2 linked regions of the Diceros bicornis minor genome follow. The protein of the gene in region 1 purifies or fractionates together with the protein of each later gene. This does not show direct contact. Links are inferred from orthologs where the notes say so. Each region holds a gene or a part of one and is shown in the gene's direction. Other genes may lie near its edges.

What was found. The genes of interacting proteins can lie anywhere in the genome.
Region 2: the proteins of FOXJ1 (region 1) and RFX3 purify together in Homo sapiens (affinity purification with mass spectrometry; 3 studies listed by BioGRID and IntAct, counting the BioPlex papers as one, with this or other methods). This does not show direct contact. The link is inferred for Diceros bicornis minor from reciprocal best matches to the Homo sapiens genes FOXJ1 and RFX3.

What each region holds. Positions count from the first base shown.
Region 1 is NC_080757.1:56,492,629-56,500,358, reverse strand, and holds the start of FOXJ1 (forkhead box protein J1), read left to right. Parts: upstream 1-4,726; 5' UTR 4,727-4,877; intron 4,878-5,439; 5' UTR 5,440-5,608; coding exon 5,609-6,106; intron 6,107-7,730. Other genes in the region: E3 ubiquitin ligase RNF157, read left to right, coding at 328-449. UniProt on the Homo sapiens protein: Transcription factor specifically required for the formation of motile cilia. Acts by activating transcription of genes that mediate assembly of motile cilia, such as CFAP157.
Region 2 is NC_080761.1:27,726,878-27,733,963, reverse strand, and holds the start of RFX3 (transcription factor RFX3), read left to right. Parts: upstream 1-4,079; 5' UTR 4,080-4,231; intron 4,232-7,086. UniProt on the Homo sapiens protein: Transcription factor required for ciliogenesis and islet cell differentiation during endocrine pancreas development. Essential for the differentiation of nodal monocilia and left-right asymmetry specification during embryogenesis.

The sequences.
Region 1 (7,730 bases):
GCAAACCCCAAAACCAAATAAAGATACAAAAGTGGATTGTAGGGTAAGTTTACAAAACAAGGAGCATCCTGCGGGTCTCTCTTGGTAGTGGGCCACAGTGGCCATGGCTGTACATAGTCCAGTGGGCCACAAGCAGTCCCTGCACCTGTTGGCACCCACTTCCCCTGAGTCTCTTTCTCACACGCTGTGGCTTGCACACGCATGGGAGTTTCAGGTAACACGGATCCTGCTGGCTTCTCTGCCGAACTCCTGGGCTGCCCTGCTGGAATCACCATCTGGACCCGGCCAAAGGTCTGGCTCCTATAACCTTCCTTTTCTCTTCTCCAGGTTCCTGGCAGGACGATGACAACATTGTCAGTCGTCGGAACACACAGCGCCGGCGCTTATCATCCGGCAGCCTGGAGGACCCCGAGAGCAGGCCCTGTATGTGGGGCCCTTTGGCCGTTTGAGGGCCCAGCCTGTGCCAGGGCTCCTCTCCGTCCTCGCATTCCATCCTGGCCTCATTGGACCGCTGGCCTCGTGGGCATCCTCAGCAAGACACATGGAGACTTTTTATACCTATGTGAGAGCTGGACCTTGAGATCAATTGCTCCTTCTCCCAGCCTTGTCTCCTTCTATACCCTGATCCTTCCCCTCCCAGAAGGAACTGGAACCCTCCTTGCTCCTTGTGGGCTAAAGCCACTCAATGAACTGTGGCTCATGAGACCCTTTGCAAAGACTCTCTGGAATGTTTCCACCATATGTTGGTCTTCAGGTGGAGCCAAGGTCCACAGGCTGGTTGTTTCTTGTGCATCTTTTTTCTCCTGAGTGGGTAGACCAAGATGATTTGGAGTTTTCACGGCTTCATTGCGAACACCCATCTGGCATTTTCAGGTCTCTGGGACATCATAACTGATTTGAAACCTCCAACTTGGGGTGGGGTTGGGGGATGACTCCTGTGAGAAGGGAAAGCCATATTTCACTCTAAGTGGAATTTCCCTCAAAAAGCATCAGGAGGGGCTGGCCCCATGGCGTAGTGGTTAAGTGTGCGTGCTCCGCTGCTGGCGGCCCGGGTTCGGATCCCTGGTGTGCACCAAGGCACCATTTGTCAGGCCATGCTGTGGCGGCGTCCCATATAAAGTAGAGGAAGATGGGCACAGATGTTAGCCCAGGGCCAGTCTTCAGCAAAAAGAGGAGGATCGGCATGAATGTTAGCTCAGAGCTGATCTTCCTCGCACACACACACAAAAAGCATCAGGAGCTCCTTTCGCAAGAACTAGAAACAGTGGCAACAAAAAGATTGGTTGAAAAAACTGTTCTTGCTTCTGGTAGCAGAACTAGTCTCCTCTGCCTCGTGTGTTGGTCTGCTCAGGAAGAAGACCCCGAATCTGAGAACCCCCTATTAAATGATTGCCCTTACGAGGGTGATTTATGATCAGGCACATTCATGAAGGCCCGGGACTGCATCCTAAGGTGACATTTCCAAAAAAACCTTTTTAACCACCTTTATGTGCCGGGTACTGTGGTGGGGCTGTGGGATCTTATCACATTTCATCCCTACAGCCCTGTCAGGTGGTATTCTTATCCCTATTGTTCCTGTCTCCACCCCTTTTCGTATTAATAGTTGGAGAAACAGGCTGAAAGGTGGGGGGACCGGTGATCCTCAAATTGGTGCCCAGGAGTCCCCAAGGATGTGGTGGAGGGCACTGAGGTGGGGCCAGCAGTGGTCTGGGAGCCTCCCCACCCATGTTTTCCTCCACTGCCTTCCAGATCCGCTGAGCCTGATGGGGGAGGGGGAGGGATTGCCTTCCATAGGCTCATTAAAGATTTAGAGATACTGTTGTTCAAATTATATGCCCACCCCACCCCACCTCAGTCCAGTGTGAGGCATATAAACAAAAGCTTGAAATGGCAATGCTAGACTGTAAGATGTTGGGAGTTACTCCTCTTTCAACACTAGTGTTATCGTTGGAGTCCACATCGCTCTTGGATAGATGCTTTGTCTACTTACTTTCGGAAAAGGTGGTTGTTTAGTGGAGCATGAGATTGGGAAGCAAAGTTAGGTACAACAATTTGTGAGGCTGAGATATGGCAGAGCCGCAGGCTGTCCCCATCATGATGGCCAGTCTTAGCATTTGGAATTGTCATCCTAAAAGAGTTTTTCAGGGCCATTTCCAAGGCCTCAAAGAGAGTCCAGTGCTCAGGGGATCCTTTGCGCCTTCTGTGTGGCTTTTTTGCACTGCCAGGTAGGTGGTGACCCTCACACTGACTAGTGGTTGTGGCTCACGTCCTGCCCTGGGGGGTTGGGGGGGGGGAGGCCTGTTGTCCTGACATATGTGACATGAGCCAAACCTGAATTTAAGCTTCTGTCTTGAGTTTCCATGTCCACTGTCTCTGAAATCCTACAGTGGACTCTGCTGTTTCGGGCCCCGCTTAATGTCCTATCTTTCCCCCACATTCTTACATATTTAATATTTGAGCAATAACCCCACTTGCTGATTTCCTTGAATTTTGAGCCCCAGAAGCACCAGGGGATGGAGCTTCCGTTAGCATGGGGTGGTGGCACACAGACCCCCCTCCTCTCCTGGCAGGTAGTAGTCACAGTGTGGTGTTACCTGAGATGAAGGAGATGCAGGTAAACAGTAGCCCACAGTGGCTAGGAACCCTAAGAGGAAGCCATTATCTTCACCCCTTCTGGAGGGTCTGTGTCCTCTCCCAGGAAGGGGCTCAGAAAGATTCTTCAAGACCTTGGTTCCATAACCAAGACATACCTGGGTTAGAAATGGCCCTTCACTCTTTGTTTCTCAGACAGTTCCTTTTCTCTCTCCCTCTCCCCCTCTCCCTCCCTCTGTCTCTCTCTCTCTCCCTCCCTCCCTCCCTCCCTCTTTCTCTCTCTCTCTCTCTCTCTCTCTCATCTCTTGGTACTCATTTAGCTCTTTGGCAAGCAGAAACATCCCATCATCCCATCCAAAGGGGCTGGTCCTCAGTCAGCTTGATCAGGGAACAGGGCAGCTGCCAACCCTACTGCCCGAACCCATCATCTGGAGACAGTCATTGTGTGTAAGCAGTTGACCCAGAGAGAATGCGATGGGGCCTGCCTTCTCACACGAGAGCACACACTAACTGGAAGCCTGTAGCTCCTTCCTGCCATACTCAGGTCTGAGCTCTCCCATGGCCTCCGAGTGGTGTGGTGATCCTGGCCACCTCGTAGAGCCTTTTTTCCTTCCCCTACCCAGTTCCATCCCTCCAGAGTTCATGGCCACTTTGGGGAATCTCCTGGGGACAGACCCACACACTTTAAGCCGTTTAACCTGGGGAGAGGTAGTGTCCTGTCCACCTGATCTTGGCATGCTGGTTGCTCACTTTGCTTTAGGATCTGCACACCTGGTGTGTGCAAGTGTGTGTGTGTACTGTTGTGCCCTCTGTGTACCACTGTGACTCCCTGGAGTGCACTCATGGGCACACTACAGTGGGGACATCAAGGATGCAATATTTATGGATTGCTGCATGATTCTTAAAAATGAATAAAACTGTTTACAAAGGAAGGAGAGCTGTTAACTGCACAGTTGGCTTATTTGTGAAAGTTTCTGTCTGACTTTCCCCAGCACTCTTTAATATTTTTCCTCAGGAGAATCTGGAGGTGGAGGAATGGGAGAGGGCAAGGGGTAGGGCAAGACATGCTCCTGGGCAGAAGCTGATGTGCCATCCCCTGGGCACAAGCTTCCCACCCCCAGCTCCCCTGCTCCTGGGCAGAGGCCTGAGTATGGAGCCCTCACCCCCACCCTCACCCTTAAACCGGAGAACCTCCAACACTGCAGCTCCTCAATAATTGAAGAGCAGGAAAGCTGGTGGCAGGAGTGAGGCCAGGGGAAGGGAGGAGGAAGGGCCACAGTCCCCCGTGTCCCTCTAGCCTTAGTCCCTGTCACTTAAAAGTTGGTGAAATTAATGGGGCAAATGGCCCCACTAGGAGAATTTGGTCAGTTTTACCCATGGGCTCTGCTACCTCAGCTATCTGGAAAAGAGAAAGAGCACTTCTGCAGAAGCCTCTGGAATGTCAGCTTCCGGGAACCTTCCTGAGGACAGAGGTGGAGAGGAAGCCGCTTACCGGGAAACACCGGATTACCCTACCCGCCTTGGTGTGTCTGCCGTCAGTGCAGCCGTTTCTGCGGATCTGAGCGGCAGGTGGCATCGGAGAGTCATACCTGCCTGCTGACACCAGAGAGCACACTCTGGGTCGGGAGAGAGGGAAAGGCTGCAGAAACGTGAGGAAGTGCCACACGCAGCCCAGAGGAGAGGAAAGGAAACCCCCAAGCATACGGTTCCCGAGCCTGCGCCTGCTCCCAGCCTTGGCCCCCACGCCCTGGGCCGCGTCCCAGGAGCCGCCAGCACCTCGAGGCAGCCCAGATGGGAAGGGGGCGGGGCGCGAGAGCGGTTCCCGGGCGAACGGCTCGTCGGGTGCCCGGGGTCTCTGGCGGAGGCGCCGGACCGCGCGCTTCTCCGAGCCCTGCGCGGGGCCCTCGGGCGGGAATGCGCGGAGCCGGGACTCGGTGGCGGGTAGGGGCCTGGGTGGCGCGGGAGAGGGCGGCAGAAGGAGGGAGTTCGAAGAGAGTTACCGCCAGAGAGAGTGGCAAGAGCCCGCGGTCTCCTTGGAGACGTGCTGACCAATGGCAGCAGCGGAAGCTGTTTATGGGGGCGGAGCGTCGCCATAGCAGCAGGAGAAGCCTTTGGAGCGGCTACTTAATGCCGGTCCTGGGGCTGCTGTCGCTCAGAGAGGCGCCGTCCGGTGGGGGGGCGACGAGGGGCACTAGCGGGCCCTCGAGCTGGAGGCAGAGAGCCGCAGGGGGTGGGAGGAACTTCTTCCAGAACCTTCCTTTGGCCCAGGTTGCGCTCTGAGCCAGGTAAGGGACGGAAAGGGCTGCGGGACGCGGGAAGGGAGAGCGTTGGTACCAGCCCGCTCTCCCATCTGTCCCTGAAGGAAGTGGTGGGCCGGGGGACTGACATCTGAGGAGTTTGGGGGACACTCACTTCCCGCCCCCCGTAACTCTGTCCTGTTCCCTTCCTTCCCGTGATCCCCCATCCTAACATCCCTTTTCAAAGATCAGACGACCTCCCCAGGCCCCCTGCCCTATCGTACTGCCCTCCCGGGCTCCCTCGCCTCACTTCCACTTGTTGCAGGAAGGAGGGGCTCTGATTTCCCGCTCTTGGGAAGAAGGGGATAGCCTCGGATGCCCCTACCTCTTTCCTCATTTGGCTAATAAAGTCTCCTCTGAAATCTCGAAGAGGAAAAGAAGAGCGAGACGGACCTTGTGAGGGTCAGGCACTACTTCTGTTTCCCAGACCTTGGCACTAAAAGATCCTCTCCAGCTTGCGGGGACGATTTTAGAGGAGCCTCCCCCCTCGCACACACTCTTCCCTCGGGGGCGGGGGAAGGGTGCTCAGCCCCCGTTGCGGTCCCCACAGGCACCACATTCGTATTCGGAGGAGGCGACCCCCAGGTCGCAAGATGGAAGTGCGCGTCCAGGAGGCTGTGTAACCGGAGCCGCGGGAGTCAGCGGGCCGGAGAACGCGGCGGGCCACCCTTGGCTTAGTCCGTGGATGTTGACCGCCCCCTTGAAGAGCCCCCACAGACATGGCGGAGAGCTGGTTACGTCTCTCAGGAGCAGGGGTGGCGGAGGAGGCCGGGTCGGAGGGCGGCCTGGAGGAGCCCGACGCCCTGGACGACAGCCTGACCAGCCTGCAGTGGCTGCAGGAATTCTCCATTCTCAACGCCAAGGCCCCCGCCCTGCCCCCGGGGGACACCGACCCCCATGGCTACCACCAGGTGCCAGGCTCGGCGGCGCCAGGTTCGCCTCTGGCGGCCGACCCCGCCTGCCTGGGGCAGCCGCACACGCCGGGCAAGCCCACGTCGTCGTGCACGTCTCGGAGCGCGCCCCCGGGGCTGCAGGCCCCGCCCCCCGACGACGTAGACTACGCCACTAACCCACACGTGAAGCCGCCCTACTCTTATGCCACGCTTATCTGCATGGCCATGCAGGCCAGCAAGGCCACCAAGATCACCCTGTCGGCCATCTACAAGTGGATCACGGACAACTTCTGCTACTTCCGCCACGCTGATCCCACCTGGCAGGTAGGGGAGGTACAGGTGGCAGCCGTTCCCTCCCCGTGCCCTCCCTAGGTCCCCACACCCGCGGGGACTGAACTCATGTCCCAGATCCGCAGGTCAAGTAGGCATGGTGCAGCCAGGGCCCCGAGGGAGGAAGGCCGTCGAGGAAAGACCTCGAGGGAGCCCAGTGCTTGAGCTGCCTCCACCTTTGACTTCAGAGAGGGACAGGGAGGATGTTCAGAGGGCTTTAGGGGTGTGAATGCTGAGGTTCAAGGGGAAAGCACTTGTCACGCACGCATCCAGCAGGCCCAGCCCAAAGCCCAGGGCCAGACTATGCGTGAACACAGCCCCTAGGGGAGGATGATGGACTGAGGGACACATTTTTGTTCCAAGTCCTAGAATTCCTAGACACTGCCCCGCCCAAGGACAGTTAGTCAGGGCCGACTCAGAAGCGGAAGCTGGAGCATCGCCCCCTGCCAGGCTCTGCATCCTGCCTTGCTGCAGTCTGCTGGTGGGGGAGGGGGAGTGCTGTGGGGTGTGAAGGCCAGCTGTGTCCTATTGGAGGGGCTATGGGGCCTTCCTAAAGCTGCTGTCCCTGCCCCCCACCCCAACCCCTCCCCAGTTTCCTGCCTCCACTCCTCCCCCTCTTCTCAGTCAGCCTCCCTGGGGGGACAATTACCTGAGCCAGGTGCTTACCACAGGGGCTCTGCCTCCCGCACTGGCTTCATGTTCCAAGTCTCTGGAACCTGGCACAGAGCAGCCAAGGGGCCCAGGCCACCGTGTAAACATCCCGGCCTTGCCAGGGCACACTACCCACCCACCTGTCCTGCTGTCCAGGCCCAAGACCCCTGTCCCCCAGCATGGTTTGGATACGACTACACAGCTAGAAATGAACAAGGCAGGATAGTGATTTGAGGCTGGGCAGGCATTGCTCTGAGAGTCTTCAACCATCAGGATCAGGGGCTAGTTGAGGACAGAGGCCCTGAGGATGCCCAGCTCTTCCCTGGGGCACCCACAGGGGCTAGGCCGCAGGACAACAGTCCCAAGCTATTCCACGTTTTTTGGGCCCTGACCCTGGGGCAGTGCTGTTTGCAGCCTCAGTGAGAAAGCAGAGACCTACCCCAAGCCTGTGAAGCTCAGGCCGCGAGAAATGAGCCCCAGGAATGAGCACTATGCTCTTGGCTGGGTAATAATCAACTGAGACCTCATAGCCGGGGAGGGGGGGGGGGGCCGCGGGGGGTGAGGGCCCAGGTCAGCAGCTGGCTCAACAAACAAAGAAAGTCATCAGATCCCCCCACACTTCATCCCTACACACACTCGCAGGCACACACACCCTCACACCCTCAGTTGGTTGTCCAGCCCCACCCCACCCCCGACCCACTCACTCACTTCACAGAGAGGGCCAGCCAGGCCCAGGCGGAGGGCAATGGCTGTCCAGGCCCTGGGGGAGCTGAGGCCTTTGGCCAGAGGCCGCAAGCGGCAGAGTAAGGGAGGGAGGGCGGGACGGGGTGGCACTGAGAGCCACCCTGCGGCTCAGGGCTCGGATGACTGAGCAGGCAGATATCCCGGCAACAGGGAACAAAAGCCCCCGACAGCACTCCTGGCTCCTGGCGCCCTGTGGCTGGTGTCCCAGAGCTGCCTGGTTAGC
Region 2 (7,086 bases), on another chromosome or scaffold:
TATTTGGTTTTAATGATGCAAATATTGTATTTGACATTCTGTATTCAATGAAGGGAAAAATCTACATGTGTATATCAAAAAATAATTTGGTCTTGAGAAAAAATAATTTATGATTTAATTACCATCTTTCTGTGCTGGGAGTAAAAATTGAATTCCAGGTTATATATAAGGATGGACATACCTCAGGACTGCCAAGTAAACAGTTGGTTTGAATTACTTAAAGAGAACAAAATTAGAAAGACAAATCTAACAGAAAAAAAAATATTGCAATATTTTAAAAACCAAAATATACTTTGAGTGGGGATGGGTAGAGCTGGGAGTGCTCCCGAGAACAGTGGCAAACTATGTACAGTTTTGAATTACCTCGGCCTCTATCACTCTCTATCATTATTGATAATTAGCATATATCCACAGAATTTCAGATCTAGTAAAGGTAATTAGTAATCCAGTAGTCTAATTCCCCAGTACTCTGCATATAAGTACTCAATAAACACTGGTTGAAATGAAACCATTCATTTCACATATGAGAACTAAGACTCTAGTTGTCTCTCAATTGAAGAAAATTGGATATTATAATCAAGTGAAACATTTTTAAACAGGTGTGATTTCTGCTTTATAAAAGGATGCACCACAAATTCAGTGGTAAGCTGCCACAGACTGATACATTTTCAAAACTCTCATAAATACAATTTTTCAAAAGTAAACCTATCACATATCTGTATTTTATCTTTTCACATACAGCTTTTCCTTTTACAAGCATTAATGTTGAAGTAATTTTTTAGTTCTTGAATATGCAGTAGATATCAATAGGAGGAAATAACCTAACAGATAATATTGAAAAGGAAATTTACCCTTAAGAAGGTACTAAAGTAACTGATAAAGTATATAATCATACATAAATAATCAGGGCTTCATACTTTTCAAGTGGTTGTCTCTGCCAATCACTCCAAGCTGAGAGCAAAAACAATCCAAGTTCAAAGGACACAACATTTAAAATTCGTAGATATTGACTTTGAGCATTTAACAGAGAGGAACTATGTTTGGCCCATATCAGGTACTCAACAAATAATTATTGCATCGACAGTTTATTGAATTTTTCAAGGAATGTAAAAATTTTTTGGTTAGGTACCTTGTCTCATTGAGCCCAGTGTGTACTGCAGGGTAACAGGTAATAAATGTTAGACACTGCCGGATCTTTTCTGTGACTTCTTAACAAATAATTTATTTCTGAAACATATGTACAACATATGTGAAGAGGCAACTATGCAGCTTAAAAATGACCAAAAAGGAGATCCTATCAGAACTGACTATAGGCAAAAGGATTTCTGGGTCCTTTCATAACTAGTTATAGCACAAAATAATACATGCATATATAATCCAGGATGTTTCCAAATCGATAGCTTGAATTGGTAGTCTGGTTATTGGATTCAGTGTGGTGGTAATATTGACAATTTCATATTACAGTAACTTCAATATGGTTAGAAGTCATACCATCAATTGTCCTAGAACACGGAAAAATATTCTAAATCCTAAAGAACTCACTTAAAGAAATATATCTATTCCTAATTCAGGAAAAGATCAAATCAGGAAGTAGGTAAAAAAAAAAAAAAAAGTCGTCTTTAAGCGGCTGAAAACTGATGTTACAACGCCCTCGCACAAAGGTCACACACTTTTTCTAAAGGAGAGTTCCTCAAAGTACCGATTTTCACTCTTGAGACACAGTTTTGCACAAGCTTCATTATGTGGTTTTCTCGCCTGCAGATTTAAAAGCAATAGATAAAAAGGGTGGGGAGGATAACAGAGCTATGTTCACTGACGGCAGGAAGAAGCAACAGCTGACAGTGAGGGAAGGGACAAGCAAACTATAACAGACAATAGAACTAAAAAAGAAAAGCTATTCAGAGCTGTGTAGTGTGAGCAAACAGCCCCGCACAGTTATAGGAATAGAGGACTTTATCCGTAAATGTAATAAACGAATATTCATAATGACTACCAGTTTTCATACAGCTGGAGTGCTGTGTATCTTTCCCACATGTATGTCGAAATTATTGTAAATCTAAAGAGTTTAACTGTTGTTGTTCACCACATTGTCATTTGTCTCAGACTAGAAAGGCCTTCTACATGGTGGGTCATAGAACCTTTTAGCTTGAGCACCGTACTTACCACTGTTCACTATTACATTGTCATACATTATCATCAGAACCTCTATAACTCATTATGAGATTACCATGGGCAACAACATTACTTTCTTAAATCTATTGTTTAAATAGTTCGTTCCTAAAATACCCTTATCTAATATTCCATGACACAGAGCCGTAATATAAAACCACTGATTTTTAAGACTCAGCGCCTGTTTTCCCTAAAATGAGAATGTTTTGTACCTAATAGTGGTGTTATGAGGATTAAATGAGATAATGTATGTAAAACACTAAACACAACGTCTGGGGCTGTATAAGAGCTCAGTAATGGTCGCTATTATTATTTCAGCACTGTGAATTTATGTCGGCCCAAATCCCTTACTTTGCAGGTGCAAAGATTAAGCCTCAAGAGGAGAACTGACTTCCTAAGGCTCTACATCTAACGTTATTGTCTTGGATAAGCAGCTTAGCTGCCTGTGTTGGAGGTTTGGGGTATTGGCAGGGCCCAGGGGCATGTGCCTGTAGGACTCTCGTCTGCAGAGAATTGGACGGGTATGTTAGAAATGTGAGGTATTAGAGGCTGTGCAATCCCAATGGGTGTTCGAGACACCGGGTTGTGTGCTAACAACGTGCATCACGGACGGAAGCCATTCGTCTATCTCAATACAGCCAGAAACAGCAAGACCCTGAGATACAGCGGGTTGTCAAGTAACCCGGCCGAGGGCAGGGCAAGTCATAGGATAGTGGGTTGAGCTCAAATCGCGGTTCGGTCAACTTCAAAGAGGGACGAGCCCTTTACTGAAGGGCTGAAGATAACGAGGAACTAGAAACTAACGGGGTGCTATCCCCGGCAGGTGTAAGTTACCCCAACCCTCAACGCCTTTCGCGGAACGGGACCGCCATGTGTTTTCTCATCCTCCGGCGAGGGCAATTTCTCGCTTCTTCTTAGCACTTACTCCCCGCCCTGTGGGTGGGGAGTGGGTCCCCCGCCTCTCCGCTCTGGAATGAAGACCGCGGGAGCTCCGACCTTGCCCTCTGCGCCCCGGGACGGCGGCAGGCCGGCGCGCTGCCCACCAGCAGCCCGGGCTCGCCGGCTCCAAGATGGCGGCGGAGGCAGCGGCTCACGCCCCGCCGCCCGCGCTCCTCCAGATCGCCTCTCGGGAGGCGAGAGCGGGTTGGAGGGCGGAAAGCCGGAGGGCGAAGGCGGCTCGGACTCTCCAGTCCAGCGCGGGTCCAGGAGCCCCGGAGTGCCCAGGCATACTCTAAGCCAGCAGGCCGATGCCACTGGGAACACCTCCGGCGCCTCAGAAAAGAGAAAAAAAAAAAAAAAAAAGAGGAGAAAAGGAAAAAAAAACAGAATGACCGAGCGAGCAACGGCACATCCGGGACCCTCCGCCCGCCCCGCCCCGGAAATGACGTTTTAGACTGCGGTGGGGGGGCAGAAGCCGCTCTTCAAAGTAGATTCTTCTTTGGCTGCAGCTCGTCTCCGTACAAAGTGTCTGGAATCGTCCTCAACCACCCCTCCCTCGGATTAGCAGTTACCCTCTCGCAGCTCTAGGCCTTCTTTGCACAAAGCTGGCTGCTGGGACTGGCAGCTCGCGTTTCACAGAAAGTATCCTTCGCACACGCCCCTGAACAAGCCCTCCAGCCTGGCCAGCGCTTGTACTAGCGTGCCTCCGAGACGACTCTCGGGTGACCTCAACCCTCCCAAACCTAAGCGCGTCTCTTCAGAGCCCTTCCTCGGAAGCCCGGCCTCGCGCCCCCAAGCCCGGGTTCGGGTGCTGTCAGTCACGGCCCTGGGCCCGCCCCTTCCGGCCGCTCGCCGGGCCCGCCTCCTCCCCTCTTCCCTCTCCCCCTCCCCGTGCGAGTGTCTCCCTCTGCCTCTCGCTCTCTCTCTCTCCCTCTCTCTCTCTTTTGTGAGTTATAGCAACCGTTGCCTTGTGAATCAAGCGCCATAGTCACCGTAGTCCTGGCGACTGTTACCCATCAACAACAACTACTCCTCTCCTCCTCCTCCTCCTCTTCCTCCTCCTCCTCCCCACCACCACCATCTCCATCACCCACCAACAACACCACAATAATCCACAGCCAAGGTGAATATTCTTCGGTCTCTACATGTGTGTGGGAGCGTGTGAATGCGTGTGTCCGTGCGTGTGTGTGTCCGTGTGTGCGAGCCGAGTGTGGCTGTGCGGGGGTCTCACTCCTGACACCGGGGGCTGCCGCTGCGGCGCCGCTGCCGAGGGGCTCCGTCCCCCGGGCTTGTTTACAATGGACCGTGCGCGCCGCGGCTGGGTCGGGGGTGTGGGCGCCGCGCCGCCCGCCCGCCGGCCCCGGCCCTCGGCGGCCGCGCTGCAGGGATGGAGCGGGAGCTCGGAGGGCTCCGAGACGAGCGGGAGAGGGAGCCACAGTTTGCCGATGCGGATGGTGAAGCTCTCCCCTAGGTCTGGTCTGAGAAGGAAGGGTCAGGTGAAGAGAGAAGGGTTTTTTCCCTTTCTTTCTTTCATTTTCTTCTTTTCCAAAGCTGCTTGTTTCCTGCTTCTTTCAAAACCGAAATAGACAACAGTGTGCAGGGGGGAACCCAAGAGGTGATGTTTTGTTGTTGTTGCTGTTGTTCACTTGTGGGGCCTTGTGAAGGGTTTTGTTATTTTTATCCTCCTGCAACGGTGAACTTTTCCCACCGCCTCCCCCCTTCATTTTTGCCCCTCTTTGGCTTGTGCTACATGGGCTGCTCATCATCAGCGGCATGGTTTTTTTTTTTCTTTTAAAACTGTGTTTTCTTTGTGCTGCAAACAGTCTTAATATCCATTCAGCACTCTTCCCTACCCCCCTTACTTCTCCCCCCACACCCCTTGCACACACATTGAAACCGGGGGCCTCTTCGCTGGGCTCTTTGCTGCGCTGGCAAAGAGATTTTTTTTTTTAAGTCGCTGTCTTCTCTCTCTCTTTTTTGGTGTGTGTGCGTGCGTGTCTGTGCGCGCGCTTGTGATTTAAACCGGATGCAGGGCATCTGTGATACTTGGGTTAGTAGTTATTGACAGTGCTTTATCCTTCATGTGGAGGTGGGAGGGGTACCAGTGAGGTTCCATTTCACTTTGATGAACCTCCTTCCCAACAGTGGAGTGTTAACACTTTTCATTGCGGTTATGAGACTTTGTGTGTGATAAGCAGGGAAAGGACATAAGGAAGCTTTGTGAGAACTCAGTTTACAGTGTTATTTGTGACAGTTACGGTACTTAAAAGAGTTTCTTTCTTTTTTTTTTCTTCATCCTCTCTGTTCGTTTTCCTTTGAGAGTTGAAATTGAAGTCAAGTTGTTCATAAAGAATGTATGAAGCTTCTCAACTTGAAACGTGTGTATATTTCACTTTCTTTGTGGTTGTTAAGATCTCGGCATGTGTGTACTTAACGTATTCTTTCTTATTTACTTTTTTAAATTTATTTTTATTTATTTTACTTTTTTGAACAGTGGCTTAAACCTGCTGAGGAGAGAGAACTTTTTCGCTTTTAAGTCTTTTAAAAATCTGTTTTTCTCTGTAGATTTGAATACTTATCGGTCCTCAAGTGGTAGAGCTCTTGGTAGAGGTAACCCAATATTACAGATCCTGTAAATTTGTTCATTTTTTAGCTGAACGTTTAATTAATAGATTATCAGTAAAGAGTTTTGATAATGTGCACTAAAACAAATATAATGTACTCTTATATTTGCACATATTGAAGTTTCCAATTTGGCATTTTAAAATACTTATTTAAAGTCTTCTTTCTAATAGCAAACATATATTGATTTACCTGACAGAGCAGCCTGTGAATAATGTGACAGTTTTAATTATTCTTGAGATTGTCAGTGAGCAGGTTGGGTAATTGTAATGCTATTAAGGCTAATATTTTGTAAAATAAGAGTTGGGGGTTAAAAGACTTTTACTCTTTCAATTCATTTCCTTGTGATTGCTACTTTAAATGAGGATGATATTTTGTTCTGAAAGAAATCTTTCTCGGAGCACTCAAATTTCTTTATATTTATTCATCCCCTCCCCAGCCTGGGTTCCATGCAGATCTCTAATACTAACTTGTATTTTTTTTTTCTGTTCAGATGAGTGTCAAATGCCTGAACACTTTTGGATGGTGAAGCTCCTGGGTCCTAAAAACTCTCTCTGAAGTTAATAGGAGTTTTGCTGTCTTGAGACAGTTTCAGACCTTATGCCATTTACATAATAGGTTTTCAGTGGAGTAGATTATATGCTATAATGTTATGGTTTAATATTTTTATTTGCAGTGCCCAAGAACTTTTCTGAGGCATTTCACTCATTACAACCATCTCAGGTTTTCTATAATTTAGATTTTAATTCACAAGTTGATTTGAGAACAGAACTTAAATTGAATTCTGCAGCTTATCCATTTTTGAAAGCACACATGTGGTATAAAAGTTGCTGTTAGAGATGCTTTGGGCTTAAGTATGTCAACATTTTTTATATGGATTGAGTAAATAATAACCAGAAATACTAACAAATGATAAATTTTAAAATTTAACACAAGGATAAATACTTAGCAGTTAGTTTATTCTTTCTGTGTTATTTTTCCTAGGAGGGACTGTATTATATATTGCTGTTCTCGTGTCTCCTCAGTTTTCAGACTAACGAAAATCTGTGAAAGTGACCACGCTTTAAAACTAAAACTTAAATAGGAGTCACTTGTAATTTGTTTTGAGTAGCTGAATATCTGTGATTTGTTGCATACTGTCTGTCTCAATCTTTTTAGATTGTTTTGCCTATGAATAGCATTAAATGGTTTAGGCATATTTATTTAGTACATTTACATGTATAGTATAGTAAACTAAATGCATTCCTAAAATACATCATTCCACAATGTTTTCATTATATGAGATAGTTATGCCTAATTTTAAAAATAATGTATTATTTCTCCAGTATTCAAATAGTCTTGTACTCTACTGAGGTC